4 linked regions of the Stegostoma tigrinum genome follow. The protein of the gene in region 1 binds, or shares a complex with, the protein of each later gene. Links are inferred from orthologs where the notes say so. Each region holds a gene or a part of one and is shown in the gene's direction. Other genes may lie near its edges. The genes, in order: uxt, pdrg1, pfdn6 and pfdn2.

Region 1 (7,697 bases):
TGAGATCGCGGCTCACTCGGGGATAAGGCGGTTCACTCGGTGAGATCGCGGCTCACTCGGGGATAAGGCGGTTCACTCGGGGAGAGCGCGGCTCACTCGGGGATAAGGCGGCCCACTCGGGGAGAGCGCGGCCCACTCGGGGAGAGCGCGGCCCACTCGGGGAGAGCGCGGCCCACTCGGGGAGAGCGCGGCCCACTCGGGGAGAGCGCGGCCCACTCGGGGATAAGGCGGTTCACTCGGTGAGATCGCGGCTCACTCGGGGATAAGGAGGTTCACTCGGGGAGAGCGCGGCTCACTCGGGGATAAGGCGGTTCACTCGGGGAGAGCGCGGCCCACTCGGGGAGAGCGCGGCCCACTCGGGGAGAGCGCGGCCCACTCGGGGAGAGCGCGGCCCACTCGGGGAGAGCGCGGCCCACTCGGGGAGAGCGCGGCCCACTCGGGGAGAGCGCGGCCCACTCGGGGAGAGCGCGGCCCACTCCGGGGAGAGCGCGGCTCACTCCGGGGAGAGCGCGGCTCACTCCGGGGAGAGCGCGGCTCACTCGGGGAGAAGCGGCTCGCTCCGGGATAAGGCGGCTCACTCGGGGAGAGCGCGGCTCACTCGGGGATAAGGCGGCTCACTCGGGGATAAGGCGGCTCACTCGGGGAGAGCGCGGCTCACTCGGGGAGAGCGCGGCTCACTCGGGGAGAGCGCGGCTCGCTCCGGGATAAGGCGGCTCACTCGGGGAGAGCGCAGCTCACTCGGGGATTAGGCGGCTCACTCGGGGAGAGCGCGGCTCGCTCCGGGATAAGGCAGTTCACTCGGGGATAAGGCGGCTCACTCGGGGAGAGCACAGCTCACTCGGGGATTAGGCGGCTCACTCGGGGAGAGCGCGGCTCGCTCCGGGATAAGGCAGTTCACTCGGGGATAAGGCGGTTCACTCGGTGAGATCGCGGCTCACTCGGGGATAAGGCGGTTCACTCGGTGAGATCGCGGCTCACTCGGGGATAAGGCGGTTCACTCGGTGAGATCGCGGCTCACTCGGGGATAAGGCAGTTCACTCGGGGATAAGGCGGTTCACTCGGTGAGATCGCGGCTCACTCGGGGATAAGGCGGTTCACTCGGGGAGAGCGCGGCTCACTCGGGGATAAGGCGGCTCACTCGGAGAGAGTGCAGCTCACTCGGGGATAAGGCGGCTCACTCCGGGATGAGCGCGGCTCCCTCCGGGAGAGCGCGGCTCACTCGGGGAGGGCGCGGCTCACCCGGGGAGGGCGCGGCTCACTCGGGGAGAGCGCGGCTCACTCCGGGATAAGGCGGCTCACTCCGGGATAAGGCGGCTCACTCCGGGAGAGCGCGGCTCACTCGGGGATAAGGCGGCTCACTCCGGGATAAGGCGGCTCACTCCGGGAGAGCGCGGCTCACTCCAGGATAAGGCAGCTCACTCCGGGATAAGGCGGCTCACTCTGGGATAAGGCGGCTCACTCCGGGAGAGCGCGGCTCACTCGGGGATAAGGCGGCTCACTCCGGGATAAGGCGGCTCACTCCGGGAGAACGCGGCTCACTCCGGGATAAGGCGGCTCACTCCGGGATAAGGCAGCTCACTCCGGGATAAGGCGGCTCACTCCGGGATAAGGCTGTGCACCGTCTTATCGCAGATTCTCCAGCATCTGCAGCCCCCGTTATCTCTGGTTAACTCTGATCCTGGGTGACCGCAGTCTCGGTGAGTGTGTGTCGACCAGGTTTGAGACGGACCGGGCTCGCCTCCATCGGGATGGCGCGTACAGGCGGGACTGCGCCGCTGTTGAGTGCGAGAGCGCGCCGGTTACTATCGCGGCGAGGCTGGGGGGGGGGCGGGGGGGGGTGGAAACGGGCCCTGTCGCTGTCGGCCGGTGTTAGAGCCACGGTGGGGGTGGGGGCCGTCGCTGTCGGCCGGTGTTAGAGCCGCGGTGGGGGCCGTCGCTGTCGGCCGGTGTTAGAGCCGCGGTGGGGGTGGGGGCCGTCGCTGTCGGCCGGTGTTAGAGCCGCGGTGGGGGTGGGGGCCGTCGCTGTCGGCCGGTGTTAGAGCCGCGGTGGGGGTGGGGGCCGTCGCTGTCGGCCGGTGTTAGAGCCGCGGTGGGGGTGGGGGCCGTCGCTGTCGGCCGGTGTTAGAGCCGCGGTGGGGGTGGGGGCCGTCGCTGTCGGCCGGTGTTAGAGCCGCGGTGGGGGTGGGGGCCGTCGCTGTCGGCCGGTGTTAGAGCCGCGGTGGGGGTGGGGGCCGTCGCTGTCGGCCGGTGTTAGAGCCGCGGTGGGGGTGGGGGCCGTCGCTGTCGGCCGGTGTTAGAGCCGCGGTGGGGGTGGGGGCCGTCGCTGTCGGCCGGTGTTAGAGCCGCGGTGGGGGTGGGGGCCGTCGCTGTCGGCCGGTGTTAGAGCCGCGGTGGGGGTGGGGGCCGTCGCTGTCGGCCGGTGTTAGAGCCGCGGTGGGGGTGGGGGCCGTCGCTGTCGGCCGGTGTTAGAGCCGCGGTGGGGGTGGGGGCCGTCGCTGTCGGCCGGTGTTAGAGCCGCGGTGGGGGTGGGGGCCGTCGCTGTCGGCCGGTGTTAGAGCCGCGGTGGGGGTGGGGGCCGTCGCTGTCGGCCGGTGTTAGAGCCGCGGTGGGGGTGGGGGCCGTCGCTGTCGGCCGGTGTTAGAGCCGCGGTGGGGGGGGGGGGCCGTCGCTGTCGGCCGGTGTTAGAGCCGCGGTGGGGGTGGGGGCCGTCGCTGTCGGCCGGTGTTAGAGCCGCGGTGGGGGTGGGGGCCGTCGCTGTCGGCCGGTGTTAGAGCCGCGGTGGGGGTGGGGGCCGTCGCTGTCGGCCGGTGTTAGAGCCGCGGTGGGGGTGGGGGCCGTCGCTGTCGGCCGGTGTTAGAGCCGCGGTGGGGGTGGGGGCCGTCGCTGTCGGCCGGTGTTAGAGCCGCGGTGGGGGTGGGGGCCGTCGCTGTCGGCCGGTGTTAGAGCCGCGGTGGGGGTGGGGGCCGTCGCTGTCGGCCGGTGTTAGAGCCGCGGTGGGGGTGGGGGCCGTCGCTGTCGGCCGGTGTTAGAGCCGCGGTGGGGGGGGAGGGGGGGACCTGTCCGAGAGCTGCTCCAGCTCCGCTCTCCTCTCCCCCCGCAGCAGGCGACCGAGGTAATGGCGGATCAGGCCGAGGGAGACGCTCATCAGGACGATGGGGAGAACCACCCAGAGGCGGATACTTGAGTCGAGGAGCAGGAGCTCAGCCATGGCCGGGCAAGTGGTGGGGGGGGGGGGGGGGGGGTCTGGGTCTTGAAGCCTGGGGCTTTGGGAAGTGGGGGGAGTAGGCCTTGAAGCCTGGGGCTTTAGTGGGGGGGGACTAGGCCTTGAAGCCTGGGGCTTTATTGGGGGGGACTAGGCCAGGAAGCCTGGGGCTTTGGGAAGGGGGGAGACTAGGCCTTGAAGCCTGGGGCTTTAGTGGGTGGGACTAGGCCGGGAAGCCTGGGGCTTTGGGAAGGGGGGGACTAGGCCTTGAAGCCTGGGGCTTTAGTGGGGGGGACTAGGCCTTGAAGACTGGGGCTTTGGGAAGAGGGGGACTAGGCCTTGAAGCCTGGGGCTTTAATCGGGGGACTAGGCCTTGAAGCCTGAGGCTTTAGTTGGGGGGACTAGGCCTTGAAGACTGGGGCTTTGGAAACAGGGGGACTAGGCCTTGAAGCCTGGGGCTTTAGTGGGAGGGACTAGGCCCTTGAAGCCTGGGGCTTTGGGAAGAGGGGGACTAGGCCTTGAAGCCTGGGGCTTTAGTGGGGGGGGAACTAGGCCTTGAAGCCTGGGGCTTTAGTGGGAGGGACTAGGCCCTTGAAGCCTGGGGCTTTGGGAAGAGGGGGACTAGGCCTTGAAGCCTGGGGCTTTAGTGGGGGGGGGAAACTAGGCCTTGAAGCCTGGGGCTTTAGTGGGAGGGACTAGGCCTTGAAGCCTGGGGCTTTGGGAAGAGGGGGACTAGGCCTTGAAGCCTGGGGCTTTAGTGGGGGGGGGAAACTAGGCCTTGAAGCCTGGGGCTTTAGTGGGAGGGACTAGGCCTTGAAGCCTGGGGCTTTAGTCGGGGAGGGGGGACTAGGCCTGAAAAGCCTGGGGTTTAGGCCCGGGGCCTGGAGATGGAGCGACGGTTAGAAACCGATTCAAGTTGTCACCCCTGACCCGGTAGTGAACGTCTGTGTTTTCCCGCCTTTGATGGACGGCGGCGATAAAAGTAATGAATTTATTTTAATTTTGTTTCTGTTCGAAAACGGTTTCGACCTTTATTTGTTTTTCGTTGCAAAGAGAAATATTTCCAGAAGTTTTTATTTCTTTTTAACAGGGCGAACCAATCGTCTCGCCGTTGCCGTGCCGACTCCGGCCAATCGGCGCCCGTGTCTCATTCGTCCTTCACAGTTCGGCCGTTAGAATGAGATCTTACAAAAAGTGGGACAACCCCAGCTCCGACCAATCGGAAGCGAGGAGCTGTTGTTTACCCCCGGTCGTCATTGGTCCGCAAGCGACCAATGAGAGACTGCTTATGTGGCCCCCATCCCCAGCCACGCGTCGTCCTGAGACCAATCCGAAAAGCGGAGCCGGGGTTTGCGGGCGGCCATTGCGACCAATTAGAGGCCGGTGCGCTCGGGCTGCGCATCACCATTGGCCTGCATCTGACCAATCAACGGTGCGGAGAGGTGGACCTCGCTCTTTATTGGTCCGTTAGCAGTCACTCAGAGGTGTTTGCACAGGCCGGGGCCAATCGGCTGCGTTTGTGTCACGGCGGCGCAGTAATGGCTGAGGGAGCAGGGCGGAAGGTTCTGGAATATGAGGCTTTTGTCAATGACGTCTTAAAGAGAGACCTGAAGTGAGTGGGGGTCAGGGGTCAGTGGGAATCTAGGGGTTCGGGGGCGTCACTGGGAGATGGGCCACGTGACTGTTGTTCCAGTCACATGGCAGAGTCTGGGGTCACGTGTACTCAGACCGTGGTCACGTGTCTATCTCGGACCGGGGTCACGCGTCCCTCTGGGGGCGGGGTCACGTGTATATCTCAGACTTGGGGTCACATGACCCTCTGGGGCCGGGGTCACGTGTCTATCTCAGACTTGGGGTCACATGACCCTCTGGGACCATGGGTCACGTGTCTATCTCAGACTTGGGGTCACATGACCCTGTGGGACCGGAGTCACGTGTCTATCTCAGACTTGGGGTCACATGACCCTGTGGGACCGGAGTCACGTGTCTATCTTAGACTTGGGGTCACATGACCCTGTGGGCCGGGGCAACGCGACCCTCTGGGGCCGGGGCAACGCGTCCACCTGGGACCGGGGCAACGTGACCCTCTGGGACCGGGGCAACGCGACCCTCTGGGACCGGGGCAACGCGACCCTCTGGGGCCGGGGCAACGTGACCCTCTGGGACCGGGGCAACGCGACCCTCTGGGGCCGGGGCAACGCGACCCTCTGGGACCGGGGCAACGCGACCCTCTGGGGCCGGGGCAACGCGACCCTCTGGGTCCGGGGCAACGCGACCCTCTGGGACCGGGGCAACGCGACCCTCTGGGGCCGGGGCAACGCGTCCACCTGGGACCGGGGCAACGTGACCCTGTGGGGCCGGGGCAACGCGTCCACCTGGGGCCGGGGCAACGCGACCCTCTGGGGCCGGGGCAACGCGTCCACCTGGGACCGGGGCAACGTGACCCTCTGGGACCGGGGCAACGCGACCCTCTGGGGCCGGGGCAACGCGACCCTCTGGGACCGGGGCAACGCGACCCTCTGGGACCGGGGCAACGCGACCCTCTGGGGCCGGGGCAACGCGTCCACCTGGGGCCGGGGCAACGCGACCCTCTGGGACCGGGGCAACGCGACCCTCTGGGACCGGGGCAACGCGTCCACCTGGGGCCGGGGCAACGCGACCCTCTGGGACCGGGGCAACGCGTCCACCTGGGGCCGGGGCAACGCGACCCTCTGGGACCGGGGCAACGCGACCCTCTGGGGCCGGGGCAACGCGTCCACCTGGGGCCGGGGCAACGTGACCCTCTGGGACCGGGGCAACGCGACCCTCTGGGACCGGGGCAACGCGACCCTCTGGGACCGGGGCAACGCGACCCTCTGGGGCCGGGGCAACGCGTCCACCTGGGGCCGGGGCAACGCGACCCTCTGGGGCCGGGGCAACGCGACCCTCTGGGGCCGGGGCAACGCGACCCTCTGGGGCCGGGGCAACGCGACCCTCTGGGGCCGGGGCAACGCGACCCTCTGGGGCCGGGGCAACGCGACCCTCTGGGGCCGGGGCAACGCGTCCCTCTGGGACCGGGGCAACGCGTCCACCTGGGACCGGGGCAACGCGACCCTCTGGGGCCGGGGCAACGCGACCCTCTGGGGCCGGGGCAACGCGACCCTCTGGGGCCGGGGCAACGCGACCCTCTGGGACCGGGGCAACGCGACCCTCTGGGGCCGGGGCAACGCGTCCACCTGGGACCGGGGCAACGCGTCCACCTGGGACCGGGGCAACGTGACCCTCTGGGGCCGGGGCAACGCGTCCACCTGGGACCGGGGCAACGCGACCCTCTGGGGCCGGGGCAACGCGTCCACCTGGGGCCGGGGCAACGCGTCCACCTGGGACCGGGGCAACGCGACCCTCTGGGACCGGGGCAACGCGTCCACCTGGGACCGGGGCAACGCGTCCACCTGGGACCGGGGCAACGTGACCCTCTGGGGCCGGGGCAACGCGTCCACCTGGGACCGGGGCAACGCGACCCTCTGGGGCCGGGGCAACGCGTCCACCTGGGACCGGGGCAATGCGACCCTGTGGGACCGGGGCAACGCGTCCACCTGGGACCGGGGCAACGCGACCCTCTGGGACCGGGGCAACGCGACCCTCTGGGACCGGGGCAACGCGACCCTCTGGGGCCGGGGCAACGCGACCCTCTGGGGCCGGGGCAACGCGTCCACCTGGGACCGGGGCAACGCGTCCACCTGGGACCGGGGCAACGCGACCCTCTGGGACCGGGGCAACGCGACCCTCTGGGACCGGGGCAACGCGACCCTCTGGGACCGGGGCAACGCGACCCTCTGGGGCCGGGGCAACGCGTCCACCTGGGACCGGGGCAACGCGTCCACCTGGGACCGGGGCAACGCGACCCTCTGGGGCCGGGGCAACGCGTCCACCTGGGACCGGGGCAACGCGACCCTCTGGGGCCGGGGCAACGCGTCCACCTGGGACCGGGGCAATGCGACCCTGTGGGACCGGGGCAACGCGTCCACCTGGGACCGGGGCAACGTGACCCTCTGGGACCGGGGCAACGTGACCCTCTGGGACCGGGGCAACGCGACCCTCTGGGGCCGGGGCAACGCGACCCTGTGGGACCGGGGCAACGCGACCCTCTGGGGCCGGGGCAACGCGACCCTGTGGGACCGGGGCCACACGTCCACCTGGGACCGGGGCCACGCGTCCACCTGGGACCGGGGCAACGTGACCCTGTAGGACCGGGGCAACGCGACGCTGTGGGACCGGGGCAACGCGACCCTGTGGGACCGGGGCCAGGCGTCCACCTGGGACCAGGACCGGGGCCACGCATCCACCTGGGACCGGGACCGGGGCCACGCGACCCCCTTCAGCCCACGCCCCAGCACCGCCCCCTCCCCAGGACACACACCAGGGAAAGCCCGCAGCGACCGGGCCCAGGGCTGGTGCCAGTATTCTGAGCCTCAGCATCGCTTCTGCAGCCCCCTGAGTGACGTTCTCTGAGGGT
Region 2 (7,160 bases), on another chromosome or scaffold:
CGGAGGGCTGGCTGTGAGGATACAGCTCTGCAACTATTAGCGAGACACTGCTCTGCAGCTCCCGGCTCACATTAGCGAAGCGCCCCCTTCGACCACAGCTTTTATAAAGTGTCCGTACCTGTGCACTCTGGGAGATGTAGTCGCCTTGCAGCACGTACTATGAGCTAAACATAACAATTTAAGAAACTGGAACCGGAGTAGATTACTTCAGCCTCTCGAGCCAGCTGTGCTATTGACTACGATCATGGATGATCTACTTATTCATATTCCATCTCCCATACTCTTCCAATATCCTTCGATTCCTTGAGTACACAGTAATCTATGGATCTCTGACGAATCTTGGACTAAGCACACATCCTCCTTGGGGTAAAGAATTTCAAAGATTAATAACCCTTTGAAGGAATACATTTCTCCTGATCTCAGTCTTAATTGTCCCACCCCTTATTTGAAAGCTATGTAGACACATCCAAGTCAGAGAAAAATCATTTCAGCAGCTATCATATCAGTTCATTTTAAGATTGCGTATGTTTTAATGGATCACTTCTCATAATTCTACATTCTAAGCAGTATGGACCAAATCAATCTTTCCATATAACACTCAAGATATGGTTCTCGCTAAGGCTTTTACAACTGCAGAATGAAACAGGCAAAGGATAATACCTTATATTTGTAATTGTACACCAAATTAAGCAGTGTAGTTAAACTAAAGGGGGACTGCAATGAAATAAAGGAACTTGAAGAATAGATATATGATTAACAAATGAAGGTTAGCACAGATAAGTGTGAGATGCAACAACACAAGCATACATCAGAAAATGCAAGTTAGTCAGGATTAGGGCCCTCAATCTGTTTTGTCATTTTACAAGATCATGACTGATCTGATTGTTGCCCTAATTCCCCTTAACTGTTTGCTCCCAAAACCATTTAATTCTTTTGCTCTTAAGAATGTTTCCACCTTGGCCTTAAAAATGTTCAAAAGATCCAGCCTCCACCATTCTATAGGGAAGAGTTTCACATGCCCATAATGCTCAAGTATTTTATAAAAGTTCCTCTTCATCTCCATCTTTGGAAACACGTCCCCTAGTTCTCTCTGACACAGGGAAATATCCATTCAGAATCCACCTGTTAAGTTCCCTTAGGATGTTAGCTATTTCAATAAGATTACCTCTCGGTTTTCTAAACTCCTATGGACGCCTCTGACAGAGTTCAACCTTTCCTTATATGGTGACACCTCATCCCAGATCTGAGTTGAATGGGTTTTCTTATCAGAATTGCTTCTAGTATAATGCTGACAGGTTTCTTAAATAAGGAGACAAAAACTTCATACTTTATCCAGATGCATTCCTTCCAAAGCCTGGTAGGAAGAATTGAACATGTCAGTCTGGGGGAGGCAATGGTCTAGTGGTATTTATCCCTGGAATGTTTCTCCAGACACCCAGATAATGTTCTAGGGACCCAAGTTCAAATCTCACCATGGCAGATGGTGGAATTTGAATTCAATAAAAATATCTAGAATTAGGAATCTAATTGCAGATTGTCATTGAAAACCCAACTGGTTCAAGATGTCCTTTAGGGAAGAAAACTGCCCTCCTAGGCCTGAAACGTCAGCTTTCCTGCTCCTAAGATGCTGCTTGGCCTGCTGTCTTCATCCAGCTCCAAACTTTGTTATCACGGAATCTCCAGCATCTGCAGTTCCTATTATCTCTACTATCCTTACCTGGTCCGGTCATGTGATTCCAGACCCACAGCAATGTGGTTGACTCTGAACTGCTCTCTGGGCAATTAGGGATGGGCAATGAATGCTGCCTAGCCAGCGAATGCCCTCATCCCATTAATGAATAATAACAAAATTACAAATGCACAAATCACTAAAGTTAGGCCATAGGTTAGCAAGGTGATAAAAGAAGAAAATCAAACATGAGTCTTTATTTCAAGAGGTATAATATTGAAAAGTTGGAAAGGTTATTTGAAACCCTTATTGAACATTGATAAGTATAAGACAGCATCTTTTAGGATGAGGAATAGAGAGAGTACATATTGCCTGGAAACAAGAAAAGAGTGTTCACTGGATTGGAGAGCAGAGGCTTTGGAGTTATAGACAGACACATTTTTGACATTATTAATACAGATTAATAAATCCACAACAGCACAAACCAAGCACAGGAGTTTGTTTCATAAGGGATAAAATTGAAAAGCAGAGATATAACATTCTTTATGAAGATTTGTTGAAATTTAGTTAAATTGCGATTGGGAATACTGTGAACAGTTCTGCTTTCCATATTATAAAAATAATATAAAGGTACCAAGCATATAAAGGCAAATAAAGATTAACAAGTGTAACACCTGAACTGAGGTAATGTCATACAAAGGATTTACAGACACTGAATAAAATGTTAAAAAGATTTACACAAATAATACCAGAGCTGAGCATTTATATCTGTCAGCAGTCATTGAATGTGTAGATTTTCTTCCGCGAGAAAAAAGACCTTGAGGTTTTTAAGTTATGAAAGGGAAGTCATAGAGATGATAAACTCCAGTTGCAGCAGAATGTATGATCATCCAAATAAATTAAATAAGGTTAGAATCTTAGAGTCATACAGCACAGAAACAGACCCTTCAGCCCAACTCGTCCATGTTCACCAGGTTCCTAGATTGAACTAGTCCCATTTGCTTATGTCAGGTCTGTATTCCTCTAAACCTTTCCTATCCATATACCTGTTCAAACGTCTTTTAAATGTTGTAATTTTGCATGCCAGTTCCTCTGACAGCCCGTTCCAAATCTGCAGCACCCTCTGTGTGGAATAGTTGCCCGTCAGGTCCCTTTTGAATCTTTCCTCTCTCATCTTAGACGTTTGCCCCCTATTTTTGGACTCCTCTACCTGGTGAAAAGACCTTGGCTATTCACCCTATCAATGCACCTTACGATTTTATAAACCTCTATAAGGCCACCACTTAACCTCCTTTGGCCAGGGAGAAATAAAGTTCCAGCCTCTACTTATAACTCAAACCCTCCAGTGCTGGACTTCAAACGTTAACAATGTTGCTATAATTTCTCCAGCGTTCTCTGCGTGTAAGAATTCAGGATTCACTTTTTCATCCAGAGAGAGTGGTCAAAACGAGGAAGGTACTGCCACATAGGATGGTTAAAGTGACGAAGAGGAAGCCAGAGAAACACTTAGAACAGAAAAGGAGAAAAGGACTGAACCTAAATAGTGGGCTGGATCAGAGATAATGGGAACTGCAGATGCTGGAGAATTCCAAGATAATAAAATGTGAGGCTGGATGAACACAGCAGGCCAAGCAGCATCTCAGGAGCACAAAAGCTGACGTTTCAGGCCTAGACCCTTCATCAGAGAGGGGGATGGGGAGAGGGAGCTGGAATAAATAGGGAGAGAGGGGGAGGCGGACCGAAGATGGAGAGTAAAGAAGATAGGTGGAGAGAGTATAGGTGGGGAGGTAGGGAGGGGACAGGTCAGTCCAGGGAAGACGGACAGGTCAAGGAGGTGGGATGAGGTTAGTAGGTAGCTGGGGGTGCGGCTTGGTGTGGGAGGAAGGGATGGGTGAGAGGAAGAACCGGTTAGGGAGGCAGAGACAGGTTGGACTGGTTTTGGGATGCAGTAGGTGGGGGGGAAGAGCTGGGCTGGTTGTGTCGTGCAGTGGGGGGAGGGGACGAACTGGGCCTCATCCCACCTCCTTGACCTGTCCGTCTTCCCTGGACTGACCTATCCCCTCCCTACCTCCCCACCTATACTCTCTCCACCTATCTTCTTTACTCTCCATCTTCGGTCCGCCTCCCCCTCTCTCCCTATTTATTCCAGCTCCCTCTCCCCATCCCCCTCTCTGATGAAGGGTCTAGGCCCGAAACGTCAGCTTTTGTGCTCCTGAGATGCTGCTTGGCCTGCTGTGTTCATCCAGCTTCACATTTTATTATTATAGTGGGCTGGATCGTTTGGAAGAAGCCCAGAAAGGACTTCAATTCCCAGGATGCTGCGCGGTTGAGTCTCGTCACAAAAGATACCGTTGATTGGCAGTATATTCACCAATCACACGGGGAACTGGGCAGCGCCAATGAAACGGGTGGAGCTCTGTTGATTGACAGCTCGGGCGGAGACGGTTAGAAGTTGGTTCAGGGTGAAGATGGCGCGGAAGCCGGAGGAGGAGGTGGTGAACTATCTGACTGAGGTGGAGGAGCTGGCGGAGAGTTTGCTGGCTGATAAACAGCAGGTACAATGGCGGCCTGTGTTTCGGGTTGGGTTGGCGTGGATCGTCGGCGCTGAAACGTTCGTTGTTGACCATGCCTATACTGCGCTTACTACTGGACCTGGCACCAAGTGTCCCTGCCGGGTATAGGGCCATCATCAAATGTGTTTGTGTTAAATGTCAGCCTACCCAGGGACTTAGACCTAGTTCAGGATTTTCTTAAGGTTACCATGTAGGTTCAATTTGCAGTTAGGAAGGCTAATGCAATGCTAGCAGTCTGTGTAGTATAGTAATTTGTTGTCACTTGTATTTGGGAAAATACAGGTGAGAAGTGTTTAAGTTGCCATGTTCTGGTTACCATTTTTAATGACAAAATATTAAAAAAGAAATGTTAAGATAGATAGAAAGATGCACCATGTCAATAGATTACTCAACTCAAGTATCAGAGTAAAAGGGTCAAGGACTTAGAGAAATATTTCTCACCAGAAAAACATAATGCATTGGATAATGGGAGCAACCTTGACTAATTTCTACCCTTCCTAAATGAGGGTCTTGTAAGGGTAGTTGCAAACCTTTCTACTTCTGGAAGAGCAGAGATGTACTGTTGAGGCTGTGTGGGGCCCTAGTGAGACCACATTTGTAATATTGTTAACAGTTGAGGGCCTGCAATCTAAGGATGTGCTGGCATTGGAGGGGCCCAGAGGAAGTTTCCAAGAATGATCCAAGAGATGAAAGGCTTGTTATGTGAAGAGTGGTCTGAACTCAATTGATTAGAACGATGACATGTGAATTTTATTGAAACATGTAGAATGCTGAGAAGTCTGGAAAGACTGAACATGGAGAAGGTGTTTCCACTAGTAGGAGTAGACTAGGACTCTAACGCACACTCTTGAACTGAAATGAGGAGGATTTCTTCAGCCAGAGATTTATTTAATCTGTGGAATTCACTTCTGCAGAAGGTTGTGATGGCCAAATCATAGAGTGTATTTAAGACAAATAGCTAGGTTCTTGATTGTTAAGGGGATCAAGGGTTATAGTGAGAAAGCAGGAGAATGGTGAGAAATATATCAGCCATGATCAAATCACTGAGCAGACTCTGTGGGCCGAGTGGCCTAATTCTGTTCCTGTATCTTATGTTCTGAGGCATGAGCATTTGAAAGGATTTGGCAGAAACCTAGTTTAGTCGTTTACCGCTAAATGAAGCTGGACCAGATAAGCTCCTATCTGGTCCTGCTGTTTTCTGAAAGTTGCTTACTCCAGGATAATCTTGGAGATAATAGATAACACCTGGCTTTTTCCTCTACTGTAACCAGTTTCCGCAGCTTTCAACTGCAGTGATTACCACAAATTTATGGATATTTCATCACTAAGTTTGAGATCATCTGATCACCTACCTCTGCCACTTTTTCTTTCTTTGAGACAAACTGGAACAGATGCTCTTCCATACCCAAGCCCTGTTATTTCTTCCTTCCCCACCTTCTCTCCTGTCTCCTATCATGGCCTGACCAAACTCAACTTGGCCATGAGACCAACCTGTTCTTGAACTGCTCCAGCGTAAAGGTGGCTAAATCCCCAGGACCTGACCAGATGTACCGTAGAACATTTTGGGAAGCTAGAGAAGTGATTGCTGGGCCCCTTTCTGAGATATTTATATCATGAATAGCCTCAGATGAGGTGTTGGAAGACTGGAGATTAGCTATTTGAAGAAGGTGGTAAGGAAAAGTCAGGGAGCTATAGATCAGTGAGAAGAAACACAGAGGAGCAGGATTTAGATGTATTTGGATAGGCAAGGACTGATTAGGATGTTTAACATGGCTTTGTGTGTGGAAAGTGTGTCTAACCTAACTTGATTGAATTTTTTTTGAAGAAGTAAAGAACAGGAATGATGAAGGCAGAGTGGTGAACATGATCTATGTGGACTTCATTAAGACGTTCAACAAAGTTTTACATCGTAGGCTGGCTAACAGTGTTAGATCATATGGAATGCAGGAAGAACTAGCCATTTGGATACAGAACTGGCTCAAAGGTAGAGGACAGTGGGTGGTGGTGGAGGGTTGCTTTTCAAACTGGAGGCCAGTAACCAGTGGTGTGCCACAAGGATCAGTGCTGAGTCCACTGCTTTTTGTCATTTGTATGAATGATTTGGATGTGAACGTAGGCATGGTTATTAAATTTGCAGATGATGCCAAAATACGTGGTGTACACTGAAGAAGGTTACCTGGGAGTACGATGGAATCTTGATCAGATGGGCTGGTGGGATAAGGAGCAGCAGGTACAGTTTAATTTAGATAAATGTGAGGAGTTTGGAAAGGCAAGTTGGGCAGGGGTTACAAACTAAGTGGTAAGGTCCTGGCGAGTGTTGTTGAGCAAAGAGACTTTGGAGTCATGTTTCATAGTTCTTGAAAGTGGAGTCACAGGTAGATGGGATAGTGAATGTGGCGTTTGATGTGGTTGCCTTTATTGGTCAATGCATTGAGTATAGGATTTGGAAAGTCATGTGGCTGTATAGGGCATTGGTTAGCCGCTATTGGAATACTGCCTGCAATTCTAGTCTCCCTGCTATAGGTAAGATGTTGTCAAACTTGAAAGGGTTTAGAAAAGATTTACAAGCTTCTTGCCAGGGCTGGAGGGTTTGAGCTATAGGAAGAGGCTGAATAGGCTGAGGCTACTTTCCCTGGAACATCAGAGGTTGAGGGGTGACGTTATAAAGGTTCATAAAATCATGATAGTGTGAGTAGACAAGGTTTTTCCCTAGACTGGGGCTTTCCAAAACTAGAGGGCATAAGTTTAAGGTGAGAAGGGACATATCTAAAAGGATGTTCTGAAGAAGTATCACTGGATTTGAAATGATGATTCTAATTTCTCTTCACAGATGCTGCCAGACCTGCTGAGTTCATCCAGCAATTTCAGGTTTTTTTTCCAGATTTCCAGCATCCACAGTTTTTCATTTTATTTTAATG
Region 3 (7,565 bases), on another chromosome or scaffold:
CTCTGCAGGAGTTCCTCAGGGCAGTGTCCTCGGCCCAACCATCTTCATCAATGACCTTCCCTCCATCATAAGGTCAGAAGTGGGGATGTTCGCTGACGATTATACAATGTTCAGCTGCTCCTCAGATACTGAAACAGTCCGTGTCCAAGTGCAACAAGGCCTGGAATGAGAAGCAAGAAGTGACATTCACACCACACAAATGCCAGACTATGAAGAAAAGACTATAAGACAGAGGAGCAGAAGGGGGAACGCTGATTCACTTTATTCTATACTTGACTCCCATCCCCCGACATAAGTGCCACCATTCCCCAGCTCTGTCAGCTCAGGCGAAGGTTCACTGGACCCGAAATGTCAACTCTGTGTTTTTCTCTCTGTCTGAATTCTACCGGACCTGCTGAGTTTCTCCAGCACTTCCCATTTGTACTCCAAATGGAGAAAATGTTCCAGCTGATAATAAACAGCAGAGCATTTAGCATTGAATAATATGACTGTGCAGAACACATGGTTTCATGAAAGGTGTAATGATGCTCTGTCAGATAGATTAGAATTCCTTGAGCAGGACAGGAGAAGAAGCAGAGAGTGCTTGATGAGGTAGACGCACCCTCGGTGCTGGGGACGCTACATTCATGGGGAACTGTTCAGAAAGACACTGTCCAGTGAAGTTCATCAACATCCTCTGTCTCCTCCACAACAAGATGTGAGAAACAGTCCCCACTGATGGTAACCTGAGAGAATGGAGTCATAGTGCGATACAGCACGGAAACAGATCCTTCCATCCAACCCATCCATGCCAGCCAGATTTTCTACATTAATCCAATCCCTTTCCCCAGCATTTGGCCCCTATCCCCCCAAACCCTTCCTATCCATATACCCATCCAGGTGCCTGTTAAATGTTGTAACTGTACCAGCCCCCACCACTTCCTCTGGCAGCTCATTCCATACACGCACCTCCCTCTGTGGGAAAAAGTTACCCCTCAGCTCCCTTTTAAATATTTCCCATCTCACCTTAACCCTATATGCTCTTCGATATTCACCCTCTCTATTCACCCTATTCATGCCCCTCATAATTTTATAAACCTCTATAAGGTCACCCCTCAGTTCCAGGGAAAGTAGGCCCACCCTATTCACCCTCTCCCTAAAGCTCAAACCCTCCAACCCTGCAAATCCATGGAATCCCTACAGTGTGGAAAAAAGCCATTTGGCCCAATAATTCCACACTGAACCTCCAAAGAGCATCTGACCCAGACCCATTCCACTATCCTACCCCTGTAAATCTACATTTCCTGTGGCTAATCCACCTAATCTACACATCCTTGGCACTACAAGGTAATTTAGCATGGCCAATCCAGCTAGTTTGCACATCTTTGGACTGTGGGAGGAGACCAGAGCACCCAGAGGAAACCCACACAGACACGGGGAGAATGTGCAAACTCCACACAGACAGTCGCCCGAGGGTGGGGTCGAACCTGTGTCCCTGGAGCTGTGAGGCAGCAGCGCTAACCAGTGAACCATCGTGCTGTCCAACAGCCTTCTAAATCTTTTCTGAACCCTTCCCAGTTTTACAATATCATCCCTGTACCAGGGAGACCAGAATCAAACGCTGTATTCCAAAAGTGGCCTTCGAAGTCAAACAGGATATCATCACTGCTAGATAACAAGGTGTGGAGCTGGATGAACACAGCAGGCCAAGCAGCATCATAGGAGCAGGAAAGCTGACGTTTCAGGCCTAGACCCTTCATCAGGCCTGAAACGTCAGCTTTCCTGCTCCTAAGATGCTGCTTGGCCTGCTGTGTTCATCCAGCTCTACACCTTGTTATCTCGGATTCTCCAGCATCTGCAGTTCCTACTGTCTATCATCACTGCTGCCATTTTCTTCATCTTCATCATTACCAATCTTCACCTTATTAAGAACAAACTTCTCAGTAATGCGGACATTGTCTACAGGATAGACAACCTCAGTCAGTTGAAATTTAAGAAGGATATGACACCAAACTGGGTGATCAGCCATGATCATAATGAATGGTGGTGCTGGCTCGAAGGGCCGAATGGCCTACTCCAGCACCTATTGTCTGTTGAAAATATTACAACTTGCTTGTCGAACTTCAGCATGAAGACGACAATCTCATCTCTGCTGTCTCGGAAGAGAATTTTCAAGCCTCTCGTAATGTCTTAGTGGAATCATACCAATGAATTGGTGTCAGCGTCAACCTTTAGGAGACTCAAAAGTCTCCTAGCAGCCCTTCCCAAGGCAAAATTCTGGTCCATCCCACCATTTAGATCAATGGAAAAATTGTATCAAAATGGAACATTTCCTTTACTTGGAAAGCTAAGTCACATCTAAGGCTGACATTGATACGGCGATCCAACACCACATCCAATCTGTGAGTATCGCCTTGGCACATCTAAGGATTAGAGTCTTCGATGACCATGACATCCATACTGATACCAAGAGATATTTAAGGCAATCACCCTTCTAACTTTTCTATAATGGCTCAGAGTCGACTATGTGTAGACTCTCAAAGCTTTTGAGAAGCACCGCCAACACTGTTTGAGATTGATTCTGTGTATTTTGAGGACAGACGTACTAACATGAATGTCCTTGAAGCAGCTAACAGCACCAGAGGCCATGGTCATCCAAAACCAACTCCGCTGGGCTGGCCACTTACTTAGGAAGTCTGAGTTTCGACTACTACAGTAAATCATCTTCACGCAGTTCAAGAAAGGCACACGAACAAGAGGAGGGCAAAGGAAGCATTTCAAAGACTTCCCAAGATGCCTCAAGAAATGCAACATAAATGTTATCATGTGGAAGACCCTCATTCAGAAGAAACTGAATGGAGGAAACTCCTATGTGAAGGGACACAATCCTCAGAAAGCACATGTAGGTAAGCGGAAATACAGAAAAGGAGCTGAAGAAAGAAATGCCAAAGGCCAATCCCATCTCCTGGAAACACCTGCCAAATGTATATTTGGAGATGCAACCCTAGGATCAGGCCCATTGGCCACACAAGGAACCACAGACCCATGACCAGTGACACAGAATTTCTTACGGGGACAATCAGACACACACCACCCCCACCAAATCTGATAGCGAGTAGTTGCTGACAATGGTGATGTGAGCATGAATAGAGGATTGACCAACTCATAGAAAACAGAGAGTTACAGGCTCGATAGGCCCTTTTTCTGCAACCAAGGTTCTCTGATTCGATGAGGGCTGACCATCACGGAGTTGGGAGACCAGGATCCAGCGGCAGAGATGCTCTTTGGAATCCAGTTGGTTGAAATGTTGTTAGATCTGTACACCCTTTGCTTACTACAATCTAGCTGGTACTGCTAAGAAACAAGGCTTTTCACTGTACTCAGGCACACGTGACAACAAATCAATCAGTCAATCAGTGGGTTCTGCAGGAGCTTTGCCTGAAGGCGGTGTGGAGCTGCCATGGTTCACAGGGTCTTGCCACTGGAGACAGCCCCAGATAAGGTTCACACGTCTGACCCTGGGTTGAGGAGACGTTGGGTAGTTTGAGCCCCTACTGATCGGAGCTTGGAACGAGAGGTGACCTTATCGGAACATACAGGATTCCCGGGCAAACCCGACAGGAAATAAAAGCAGATGTTGGTGGAAAAGCTCAGCAGGTCTGGCAGCATCTGTGGAGAGAAATCAGAGTTAACGCTTCGGGTCCACCCTCCCACAGAACTGATGGTGGCCAAGAACATGTTAGTTTATATGCAGAAGACAGGGTGGCGGGGGGAGCAGGGGGGGATAGAGCCCAAAGAGAGAGAGTAGCTGGACAGGCAAAGGAGCTGGTAATGATCAGGCCGGGAGGGTGAGTAATTATTACTGGGGGCTGTCAGTGGCTAACAGCAGGGGGCGGTGTAAAGGGATGCACTGGGGGGCGGGGTCAGGGCGACGTTCGAGCCGGGGGCGGGGTCAGGGTGACGTTTCAGCCGAGGGCGGGGTCAGGGTGACGTTGAGCCGGGGGCGGGGTCAGGGTGATGTCCGTGCCGGGCGCGGGGAAAGGGTGATGTCAGCGTCGGGGGCGGGGTCAGGGTGACGGTAGAGCCGAGGGCGGGGTCAGGGTGACGTTCAGCCGGGGGCGGGGTCAGAGTGATGTCTGTGCCGGGCGCGGGGTCAGGGTTAATGGGAACTGCAGATGCTGGAGATTCCAAGATAATAAAATGTGAGGCTGGATGAACACAGCAGGTCAAGCAGCATCTCAGGAGCACAAAAGCTGACGTTTCGGGCCTAGACCCTTCATCAGAGAGACGTCAGCTTTTGTGCTCCTGAGATGCTGCTTGGCCTGCTGTGTTCATCCAGCCTCACATTTTATTATCGCGGGGTCAGGGTGATGTTCAGCCGGGGGCGGGGTCAGAGTGATGTCTGTGCCGGGCGCGGGGTCAGGGTGATGTTCTTAGCCGGCAGCGGGGAAAGGGTGATGTCAGCGTCAGGGGCGGGGTCAGGCGTCGAGACGTCAGTCGCACGGCGGCGGGGGTCAGAGTTCGGTGAAAAATGGCGGACGGGATCCAGAGGAAGCTGCAGCAGGAGCTGGAGAAGTACCAGGCGCTACAGAAAGGTAGACAGAGATAATGGGAACTGCAGATGCAGGAGAATCCAAGATAATAAAGTGTGGGGCTGGATGAACACAGCAGGACAAGCAGCATCTCAGGAGCACAAAAGCTGACGTTTCGGGCCTAGACCCTTCATCAGAGAGGGGGATGGGGTGAGGGTTCTGGAATAAATAGGGAGAGAGGGGGAGGCGGACCGAAGATGGAGAGTAAAGAAGATAGGTGGAGAGAGTGTAGGTGGGGAGGTAGGGAGGGGATAGGTCAGTCCAGGGAAGACGGACAGGTCAAGGAGGTGGGATGAGGTTAGTAGGTAGGAGATGGAGGTGCGGTTCGGGGTGGGAGGAAGGGATGGGTGAGAGGAAGAACCGGTTAGGGAGGCAGAGACAGGTTGGACTGGTTTTGGGATGCAGTGGGTGGAGGGGAAGAGCTGGGCTGGTTGTGTGGTGCAGTGGGGGGAGGGGATGAACTGGGCTGGTTTTGGGATGCGGTGGGGGAAGGGGAGATTTTGAAACTGGTGAAGTCCACATTGATACCATTAGGCTGCAGGGTTCCCAAGCGGAATGAGTTGCTGTTCCTGCAACCTTCGGGTGGCATCATTGTGGCAGTGCAGGAGGCCCATGTTGGACATGTCATCAAGAGAATGGGAGGGGGAGTGGAAATGGTTTGCGACTGGGAGGTGCAGTTGTATGTTACGAACTGAGCGGAGGTGTTCTGCAAAGCGGTCTCCAAGCCTCTGCTTGGTTTCCCCAATGTAGAGGAAGCCGCACCGGGTACAGTGGATGCAGTATACCACATTGACAGATGTGTAGGTGAACCTCTGCTTAATGTGGAATGTCATCATGGGGCCTGGGATAGGGGTGAGGGAGGAGGTGTGGGGACAAGTGTAGCATTTCCTGCGGTTGCAGGGGAAGGTGCCGGGTGTGGTGGGGTTGGAGGGCAGTGTGGAGCGGACAAGGGAGTCACGGAGAGAGTGGTCTCTCCGGAAAGCAGACAGGGGTGGGGATGGAAAAATGTCTTGGGTGGTGGGGTCGGATTGTATATGGCGGAAGTGTCGGAGGATGATGCGTTGTATCCGGAGGTTGGTGGGGTGGTGTGTGAGAACGAGGGGGATCCTCTTGGGGCGGTTGTGGCAGGGGCGGGGTGTGAGGGATGTGTCGCGGGAGACGCGGTCAAGGGCGTTCTCGATCACCGTGGGGGGAAAGTTGCGGTCCTTGAAGAACTTGGACATCTGGGATGTGCGGGAGTGGAATGTCTTATCGTGGGAGCAGATGCGGCGGAGGCGGAGGATTGGGAATAGGGGATGGAATTTTTGCAGGAGGGTGGGTGGGAGGAGCTGTATTCTAGGTAGCTGTGGGAGTCGGTGGGCTTGAAATGGACATCAGTTACAAGCTGGTTGCCTGAGATGGAGACTGAGAGGTCCAGGAAGGTGAGGGATGTGCTGGAGAGGGCCCAGGTGAACTGAAGGTTGGGGTGGAAGATGTTGGTGAAGTGGATGAACTGTTCAAGCTCCTCTGGGGAGCAAGAGGCGGCGCCGATACAGTCATCAATGTACCGGAGGAAGAGGTGGGGTTTGGGGCCTGTGTAGGTGCAGAAGAGGGACTGTTCCACGTAACCTACAAAGAGGCAGGCATAGCTGGGGGCCATGCGGGTGCCCATGACCACCCCCTTAGTCTGTAGGAAGTGGGAGGAGTCAAAAGAGAAGTTGTTGAGTGTGAGGACGAGTTCAGCTAGGCGGATGAGGGTGTCGGTGGAGGGGGCCTGGTCGAAACCCCGCCCATGGCTGACAGAACCCCGCCCATGGCTGACGGAACCCCGCCCACAGCCGACGGCCTCATCGCTCCGCCCACAACCTCCACAGCCTGCAACCCCAGAGGAGACAGCCACACTGAGCCCTGCCGCATCTTCACCTTCCCCCCAGACCTCCCACTGACTGAGGACGAACGGTCAGCCCTAAGCAAGGGGCTCACCTTTGTCCCCCTACAACCACACATCAACGAATACCAGTCACGGTCGGACATAGAGCAGTTTTTCCACCGTCTTCACCTCCATGCCTACTTCTTCAACCGGGAACCCAACCCTCCCTCCACTGACCCCTTCACCCGCTTCCAACACAAGTCCTCCTCCTGGACACCACCCCCAGGCCTCCTACCCTCCCTCGACCTCTTCATCTCCAACTGCCGTCGAGACATTAACCGCCTCAACCTCTCCACCCCTCTCATCCACTCCAACCTCTCCCCCGCAGAACGGGCAGCCCTCCGCTCCCTCCGCTCCAACCCCAACCTCACCATCAAACCCGCAGACAAGGGTGGCGCAGTGGTAGTATGGCGCACTGACCTCTACATCGCCGAGGCCAGACGCCAACTCTCCGACACCACCTCCTACCGCCTCCTCGATCATGACCCCACCCCCGAGAACCAAACCATCATCTCCAACACCATTCATGACCTCATCACCTCAGGGGACCTCCCACCCACAGCCTCCAACCTCATTGTTCCCCAACCCCGCACGGCCCGTTTCTATCTCCTTCCCAAAATCCACAAACCTGCCTGCCCTGGTCGACCCATCGTCTCAGCCTGTACCTGCCCCGCCGAACTCATCTCACCTATCTGGACTCCATTTTCTCCCCTTTGGTCCAGGAACTCGCCACCTACGTCCGTGACACCACCCACGCCCTCCACCTCCTCCAGGACTTCCAATTCCCTGGCCCCCAACACCTCATATTCACCATGGACGTCCAGTCCCTGTACACCTGCATTCCGCATGGAGGTGGCCTCAAGGCCCTCCGCTTCTTCCTGTCCCGCAGGCCCGACCAGGCCCCCTCCACCGACACTCTCATCCGCCTAGCTGAACTCGTCCTCACACTCAACAACTTCTCTTTTGACTCCTCCCACTTCCTACAGACTAAGGGGGTGGCCATGGGCACCCACATGGGCCCCAGCTATGCCTGCCTCTTTGTAGGTTACGTGGAACAGTCCCTCTTCTGCACCTACACAGGCCCC
Region 4 (7,135 bases), on another chromosome or scaffold:
CCAGCTCCACACCTTGGTATGTTACTGCAACTCATATTGTGCTCCAAATTCAGTTATCTCGCTCAAATAGTGACAGGGAGTCAACAAAGTGTGCGGCTGGATGAACACAGCAGGCCAAGCAGCATCAGAGGAGCAGGAAAGCTGACGTTTCGGGCCTAAACCTTTCATCAGACAGCCTCTCTGATTGAAGGGTCTAGGCCCGAAACGTCAGCTTTTGTGCTCCTGGGATGCTGCTTGGCCTGCTGTGTTCATCCAGCTTCACACCGTGTTATGTCGGATTCCCCAGCGTCTGCAGTTCCCATTATCGCTAGTGACGGAGAGTGTTCAACACCTCTGCTTTGTGAGTGAGTGAGCGTGTGTGGGTGCTCAGGGCAGGTTTACTCAAAGAAACCTACAGCACAGAAACAGGCCCTTCGGCCCTCCAAGCCTGCGCCGATCAAGATCCTCTGTCTAACCCGACATCTATTTTCTAACAGTCTGTGTCCATTTGCTCTCTGCCCATCCATGTACCTGTCTAGATACATCTTAAAAGATGGTATCGTGTCCACCTCTACCACCTCGGCTGGCAACGTGTTCCAGGCGCCCACCAGCCTCTGTGTGAAGAACTTTCCAGGCATATCTCCCTTAAACTTTCCTCCTCTCACTTTGAACTCATGACCCCTAGTAATTGAGTCCCCCACTCTGGGAAAAAGCTTTTTGCTATCCACCCTGTCTATACCCATCATGATTTTGTAGACCTCAATCAGGTCCCCCCTCAATCTCCGTCTTTCTAATGAAAATAATCCTAATCTATTCAACCTCTCTTCATAGCGAGCACCCTCCATACCAGGCAACATCCTGGTGAACCACCCTTGCACCCTCTCCAAAGCATCCACATCCTTTTGATAATGTGGTGACCAGAACTGTACACAGTACTCCAAATGTGGCCGAACCACAGTCCTATACAACTGCAACATGACCTGCCAACTCGTACTCAATACCCCGGCCAATGAAGGAAAGCATGCCATATGCCTTCTTGATCACCCTATTGACCTGCGTTGTCACCTTCAGGGAACGATGGACCTGAACACCCAGATCTCTCTGTTCATCAATTTTCCCCAGGACTTTTCCATTTATTGTATAATCAGTGACAGACTTTTGAATGATTGTGAACCAGGACCAACTGCAACGCTCACCATTGTAGCAATTTTCTGATTGACTTCTGGGCAAGCTGCTGCAGCTTGGTGATTGCGCGATACAAAATAAAACTCTAACATGCGAAGGAGAAAACTTCCTCCTTGAGAGGAAAATGGACGGGGGAGAGACACCTTCAGAGACACTGGAAGGTGGTCAACGTGGGGGAAGAGAGTGAGGGTAAGAAGGAAGAGTGGCGTCAGAGGCAGGAAAGGGAGAGGTGCGAGGGAGCACGGGTACCTGGCCATGCGGAAATACCGTTGGATGAGATCGCCCTCCAGGGTCTCTGCCTGGCTGAGTGTCTGCTCCTGAGATGAGGCAACATAATCAAAGGCTTCAGGGAGGAAGAGGAACTTGGCCCCTCGCTCTGCCCCCTCCCTCACCAGCGCCTGACACTCAGCAAAATTTCTCTCCTTGTCCCCCGTGCTGTTCAGCTGGCACACTCCAATCAAACTCCTCTTCAGCGTCGCCATCCCTCGCAACCTGTCCAAGACAGAGAGAGAGAGAGTGAGTGTCGCATAGAGACACACCTTCCCTCGAACCTCCTTCAAACCAGCTTCCAACATTCCTCAAGAAAAGACATCAACCGCAAACTTGCAGACGGGAAAAGACGTTGCCAAACTGGGATACTTTCGACTCCCAGGCACTCTCAGCGAGCCGCTCCCACGTTCCTTCCGGCGCCCAGTCCTTCCTCACCAACACCCACCACCTCATCTACCCGAGAAAGAGCAACAGGGAAACAAGAGCGTAGGAACAAATGGGTCGCTCGCAGAGTGGGAACGGTCAATACTGCCAGCCTGAGCAGCCGGCCCCGAACTATCCACAACTAACATCAGTAATTTGCAGCAAGGAATCCAGTGTGAGAACTGGGTGGGGGCTGTGAGCAGTGAGGAGGTTACAGGGCAATTTAGCGAGTGGACAAATACAAGTACCGTCACACAGAGAAAGGGCAAATTGTCAGCTTTGGTAAGGGTTTAAACAAACCCCAGAATCACAGAGTCTGAGTTAAGCATTGATAGACCAGGAAAGCTCGATGCACAAAAGGGTCCTGGGTGTCCCTGTCCTCTGGTCATTGGGAAGCACACAGGCAGAGCTCAGGAAGCGAAGGGGGGTTAGCGGAGGGGGAATAAGTGATGGGGAGGGGAGGGATGTGAGGGATGGAGATTGGGGGGATGGGATTTTGCATGTGTGGGGTAGGGGGATGTGTGGCTGGGGAGGGCTTGTGAAGGCTAGGAGATGTGAGGGATGGGGGTGTAGGCTGTGGGGTTGGTGATGTTGGGAAGAGGGATAATGGGAATGGGGGGGCAGTTACTGGGGGTGTATGCTGATGGAATGGATCAGGGATTAAGGGGGTAGGGGTTGATGGGAATGGGGGTAAAGGGAGAGGGGTGATTACTCGGGTCTGAGATAAAGGGGGTAGGGGATGATGGGAATCAGGGTAAAGGGGAGGGGTGGTTACTGTGGGAGGGCAGATGATGGGGAGGATAAAGGAAATTGGGGTAATGCAGGAGGAGAGATCACTGGGGGATGATGGGAAGGGAGTATAAGGGGATGGGGGTGACGGGAAGTTGGGTTAAGGGGATGGGGGATGATGGGAAGTGAAGTGGATAAACGGTTGGGGGATGATGGGAAGTGGGGTATATGGGGCATGATAGGAAGTGAAGTGGATAAAGGGTTGGGGGATGATGGGAAGTGGGGTATATGGGGGATGATGGGAAGTGAAGTGGATAAAGGGTTGGGGGATGATGGGAAGTGGGATACATGGGGTTGAGGGATGGGAGACAATGGGAAGGCGGGATAAGGGGATGGGGGAACGATGGGAAGGCGGTATAAGGGGATGGGGGTGACGATGGAAAGGGGGGGATGGGGGATAAGGATGATGGGGGGGTGATAGGGGGATGGGGATGATGGGAAGTTTGGGGATAAGGGGATGATGGGAAAGGGGGTAAAAGGGGGACAGTTACTGGGGGCACATGATGATAGAATGGGGAAGGGGTGGTTACTGGGATCAGGGATTACCCAACCCTAATCCTAATCCTAATCCTAACCCTTTCACACAGGGATGATGGGAATTGGGATGGGGGAATGTTGGGAAGGGGATGGGGGGAATGAGGGGATAGGGAATGATGGGAAGGGGATGGGGGAATAAGGGGATAGGGAATGATGGGAAGGGGGACGATGGGAAGTGGGGGGATAGGGAATGATGGGAAGTAGGGGGATAAGGGGATAGGGAACGATGGGAAGGGGACGGGGGAATGATGGGAATTGGGATGAGGGGAATGTTGGGAAGGGGATGATGGGAGGGGGGATGATGGGAAGTGGGGGGATAAGGGGATAGGGAATGATGGGATAGGGAATGATGGGAGGGGGCGGTTACCAAGCAGCCAACGTCACGCGGAGGCTGAGAGAGAACATGCCCCTGCGCCCAGTGTCCGTGGAAACCCGCTCAGGGGGCCTGACGCTGAATTAGCCGCCTATCTACCTGCCTGCTGTCAGATATGGACACACCTTTGAGGGGAGGGGGAGGACAAACTCGGCCCGAACACCATTCCCACAATGCTACAACATTCAGGGAAAATTTCGCCGAAGTTTTTTCTGGAGGGGGGGGGCGCAGAAAAAAGACGGCTTCACAAAATGATCGGCGTGAAAAGGGGTTGGATGTGAAATTGAGAGCCGGTTCACGGTTTATTGATTTATTTCGGTGTGTCGGCGGGGTTTTGTTTACGCTGCGTTTTTTTTATATGTAACTGGTTGACTTCCCTCCCGCTGTTGATGTGAAAGCCCAGTCAGGCGGTATCCGCGGGCACCACCCACCGTCTCTATAAAAGGAGGCCGGAGGGCCCCGCCCCTCTCCAGTGGTGGGATGGAGGGACCCGGCGCGGTAGGGATGCTGTCGGGAGGCCGGGCCCAACAGGCCCAGGCCGCCGCCCCCACACCCGAGCAGGTGCTGGCCGGCTTCAACAAACTGCGGCAGGAGCAGCGCGGCCTGGCGGGCAAAGGGGCCGAGCTGGAGCAGGAGGTGGCGGAGCACGGGTAACGGGACGGGGAGGGAAGAGAGAATGGAAAGGGTTGGGTGGGTGGGCGGGTCGGGGTTTGATTATATATAAATGGCACAGGCCCTTGGCCCATGATGTTGTGCCCAACTTTTACCCTAATCCTAAGGTCTACCTAACCTCCACCCCTACCTTATACTTCCATCCATATACCTGTCTAATAGCCGCTTAAATGCCCCTAATGAGGCCGACTCTACTCCCCTCTCCGACCACTCTCTGAGTAAAGAACCTCCCTCTGATGTCACCCCTATATCTACCTCCACTCACTTTAAATCTATGTCCCCTCATCATAGCTACCTCCACCCTAGGAAAAAGTGTCTGGCTGTCCACTCTATCTATATCTCCGATCATTTTGTACACCTCTGTCAATCACCTCTCATCCTTCGTTGCTCTAAAGAGAAAAGCCCTAGCTCTCTCAACCTTTCCTCGTAAGACCTTCCCTCCATTCCAGACAACATCCTGGCAAATCTCCTCTGCACCTTTTCCAACACTTCCACATCTTTCCCTGTAATGAGGCAACCAGAACTGGACACCATACTCCAGATGTGGCTGAACCAGGCTTTTGTATAGCTGGAGCATAACTTCACGGTTCTCAATCCCTCTATTACTGAAAGCTCACACACCGTACACCTTCTTAACAACTCTATCCACCTGGGTGGCAGCTTTCAGGGAACTGTGGACATGAACCCCAAGATCCCTCTGCTCCTCCACACTGCCAAGAACCTTTCTGTTAACCCTGTATTCTGCTCTCAAGCTTGCCCTTCCAAAATGAGTCATCTCTCACTTTTCAGAGTTAAACTCCATCTGCCACTTCTCAGCCCAGCTCTGCATCCTATTAATGCCCCTTTGTAACCGAGGACAGTCCTCCGCACTATCCACAACACAACCCACCTTCATATCGTCCGTGAACTTACTAATCCACCCTTCCACTCCTTCATCCAAATCATTTACAAAAACCACAAATAGAAGAGGACCCAGGATAGATCCTTGTGGTACACCACTCGTAACTGAACACCATGTTGAATGTTTTCCATCCACTACCACCCTTTGCCTTCTAAGGGTCAGCCAGTTCTGAATACAATCTGCCACATTACCCCCTATCCCATGCCTCCTTACCTTCTGCATGAGCCTATTACGGGGATCCTTATCTAATGCCTTACTTAAATCCATGTATACCACATCCACTGCTCCACCTTCATCCACGAGTTTGGTCACCTCTTCAAACAATTCAATAAGGTTTGTGAGGCATGATCTGCCCCTCACAAACCCATGCTGACTATCACAAATCAAACTGTCTTTCCGAGTGATTGTGAATCCTATCTCCGAGTCCGTTCCAATAATTTACCCACCATTGAAGTAAGACTAATTAGCCTGTAATTTCCAGGGTTATCCTTATTCTGTTTTTAGAACAGGGGAACAATGTTCGTCTCTCTCCAGTCTTCCGGCAGTATACCCATGGACAGTGAGGACGAAAAGATCATTGCCAAAGGCCCTGCAATCTTGTCCCTCACTTCCCATAGAATCGTTGGATGAATCCCATCAGACCCGGGGGACTTATCTGTCTTCAACTTCCTCAAAATTCCTAGCATATCTTCCTTACTGACATCGACTTCCTCTAGTCTACCAGCCTGTTTCACAATGTCTTCCTCTACAACTAGGTTCCTCTCAGTTGTGAATACTGAAGAAAAGTATTCATGAAGGACCTCTCCTATCTCTTAAGGCTCAGTGCACAAATGCCCTTTACAGTCCATGATCGGCCTTGCCCTATCTCTGGTTATTCTCTTATTCCTCACGTATGTGTAAAAAGCCTTGGGGTTTTCCTTGATCCTATCTGCTGAGGTTTTTCTCATGCACCCTTTTAGCTCTCCTAAGCCCTTCCTTCAGCCCCTTCCTGGCTAACTTGTATCCCTCTAGAGCCTTTTCCGTTCCTTGTTTCCTAAACCTTATATAAGCCTCCTTCTTCCTCTTAACCAGACGTTTGACCCCTCTTGACTGCATCTTCTCTGCCTGCTAGGGACAAACACATCAAGCACACAAGCAGTCTGCCTTCTTTAAACAATCTCCGCATTTCAATAGTGCTGTTCCCTGACAGCATCTGTTCCCCTTTAATGTTACCCAGTTCTTGCCTAACAGAATTAATGACCCTTGCCCCAATTGTAAACCTAACCCTGCTTTACGTATCTATTCTTTTCCATGACTGTTGTAAAAGTAACAGAGTTATGATCGCTATCGCCAAAATGCTCTCCTACCCACAGGTCTAACACTTGGCCCGGTTCATTGCCAAGCACCGTACCTAAAGTGTCCTCTCCTCATGTTGCTGTATGTACTTACCGTGTCCGGAATCCTTCCTGAATGGACTGGACACAATCCGTTCCATCCCAACTATCAACTAACATGTTCCCAATCAATATTTGGAAAGTTGAAGTCACCCATGACTTGTAACCCTGTGACTTCTGCACCTTTCCAGTATCTGCCTCCCAATCCGCTCCTCCACTTCTCTGCAACTATTAGGGGTCTGTTTATATAAAAAAAACCCCAACAAAATGACAGCTCCTTTCTTGTTCTGGACCTCAACCCAAACTGACTCTGTAGACACATCATTCTTGAACTGCCTTTTAGTAGCTGCTATACTCCCCCTGACTAGCAATGTCACTCCCTATTTCTTCCAAAGCATCTAAATCCCGGGACTTCCAACAACCATCCCTGTCCTGGAGTTACCCAAGTTTCTGTAATGGCCACGACCCGTAATGATTGATGGAGTTAACCTGGGTGGGGGAGTCTGTAGATGTGGTTTATTTGCATTTCCAGACAAAAGTCCCACATAAAACATATTAACTTAAAGGGCATGGGAGCATATTGAGGTGGTTAGAAAATGGTTTCCAGTCTGCTAATGAAAGAGTTGGAATCAA

What was found.
Region 2: uxt (region 1) and pdrg1 share a complex: the UniProt entries of both Homo sapiens proteins name them as parts of the PAQosome complex. The link is inferred for Stegostoma tigrinum from reciprocal best matches to the Homo sapiens genes UXT and PDRG1.
Region 3: uxt (region 1) and pfdn6 share a complex: the UniProt entries of both Homo sapiens proteins name them as parts of the PAQosome complex. The link is inferred for Stegostoma tigrinum from reciprocal best matches to the Homo sapiens genes UXT and PFDN6.
Region 4: uxt (region 1) and pfdn2 share a complex: the UniProt entries of both Homo sapiens proteins name them as parts of the PAQosome complex. The link is inferred for Stegostoma tigrinum from reciprocal best matches to the Homo sapiens genes UXT and PFDN2.

What each region holds. Positions count from the first base shown.
Region 1 is NW_026728639.1:9,831-17,527, forward strand, and holds the start of uxt (protein UXT), read left to right. Parts: upstream 1-4,679; 5' UTR 4,680-4,740; coding exon 4,741-4,814; intron 4,815-7,697. Other genes in the region: ER membrane protein complex subunit 3-like, read right to left, coding at 3,057-3,208. UniProt on the Homo sapiens protein: Involved in gene transcription regulation. Acts in concert with the corepressor URI1 to regulate androgen receptor AR-mediated transcription. Together with URI1, associates with chromatin to the NKX3-1 promoter region.
Region 2 is NC_081372.1:55,171,036-55,178,195, forward strand, and holds the start of pdrg1 (p53 and DNA damage-regulated protein 1), read left to right. Parts: upstream 1-4,068; 5' UTR 4,069-4,137; coding exon 4,138-4,224; intron 4,225-7,160. UniProt on the Homo sapiens protein: May play a role in chaperone-mediated protein folding.
Region 3 is NC_081387.1:28,276,540-28,284,104, reverse strand, and holds the start of pfdn6 (prefoldin subunit 6), read left to right. Parts: upstream 1-4,439; 5' UTR 4,440-4,510; coding exon 4,511-4,574; intron 4,575-7,565. UniProt on the Homo sapiens protein: Binds specifically to cytosolic chaperonin (c-CPN) and transfers target proteins to it. Binds to nascent polypeptide chain and promotes folding in an environment in which there are many competing pathways for nonnative proteins.
Region 4 is NC_081399.1:9,851,074-9,858,208, forward strand, and holds the start of pfdn2 (prefoldin subunit 2), read left to right. Parts: upstream 1-4,009; 5' UTR 4,010-4,036; coding exon 4,037-4,206; intron 4,207-7,135. Other genes in the region: nit1 (deaminated glutathione amidase), read right to left, coding at 1,414-1,656, 2,158-2,246. UniProt on the Homo sapiens protein: Binds specifically to cytosolic chaperonin (c-CPN) and transfers target proteins to it. Binds to nascent polypeptide chain and promotes folding in an environment in which there are many competing pathways for nonnative proteins.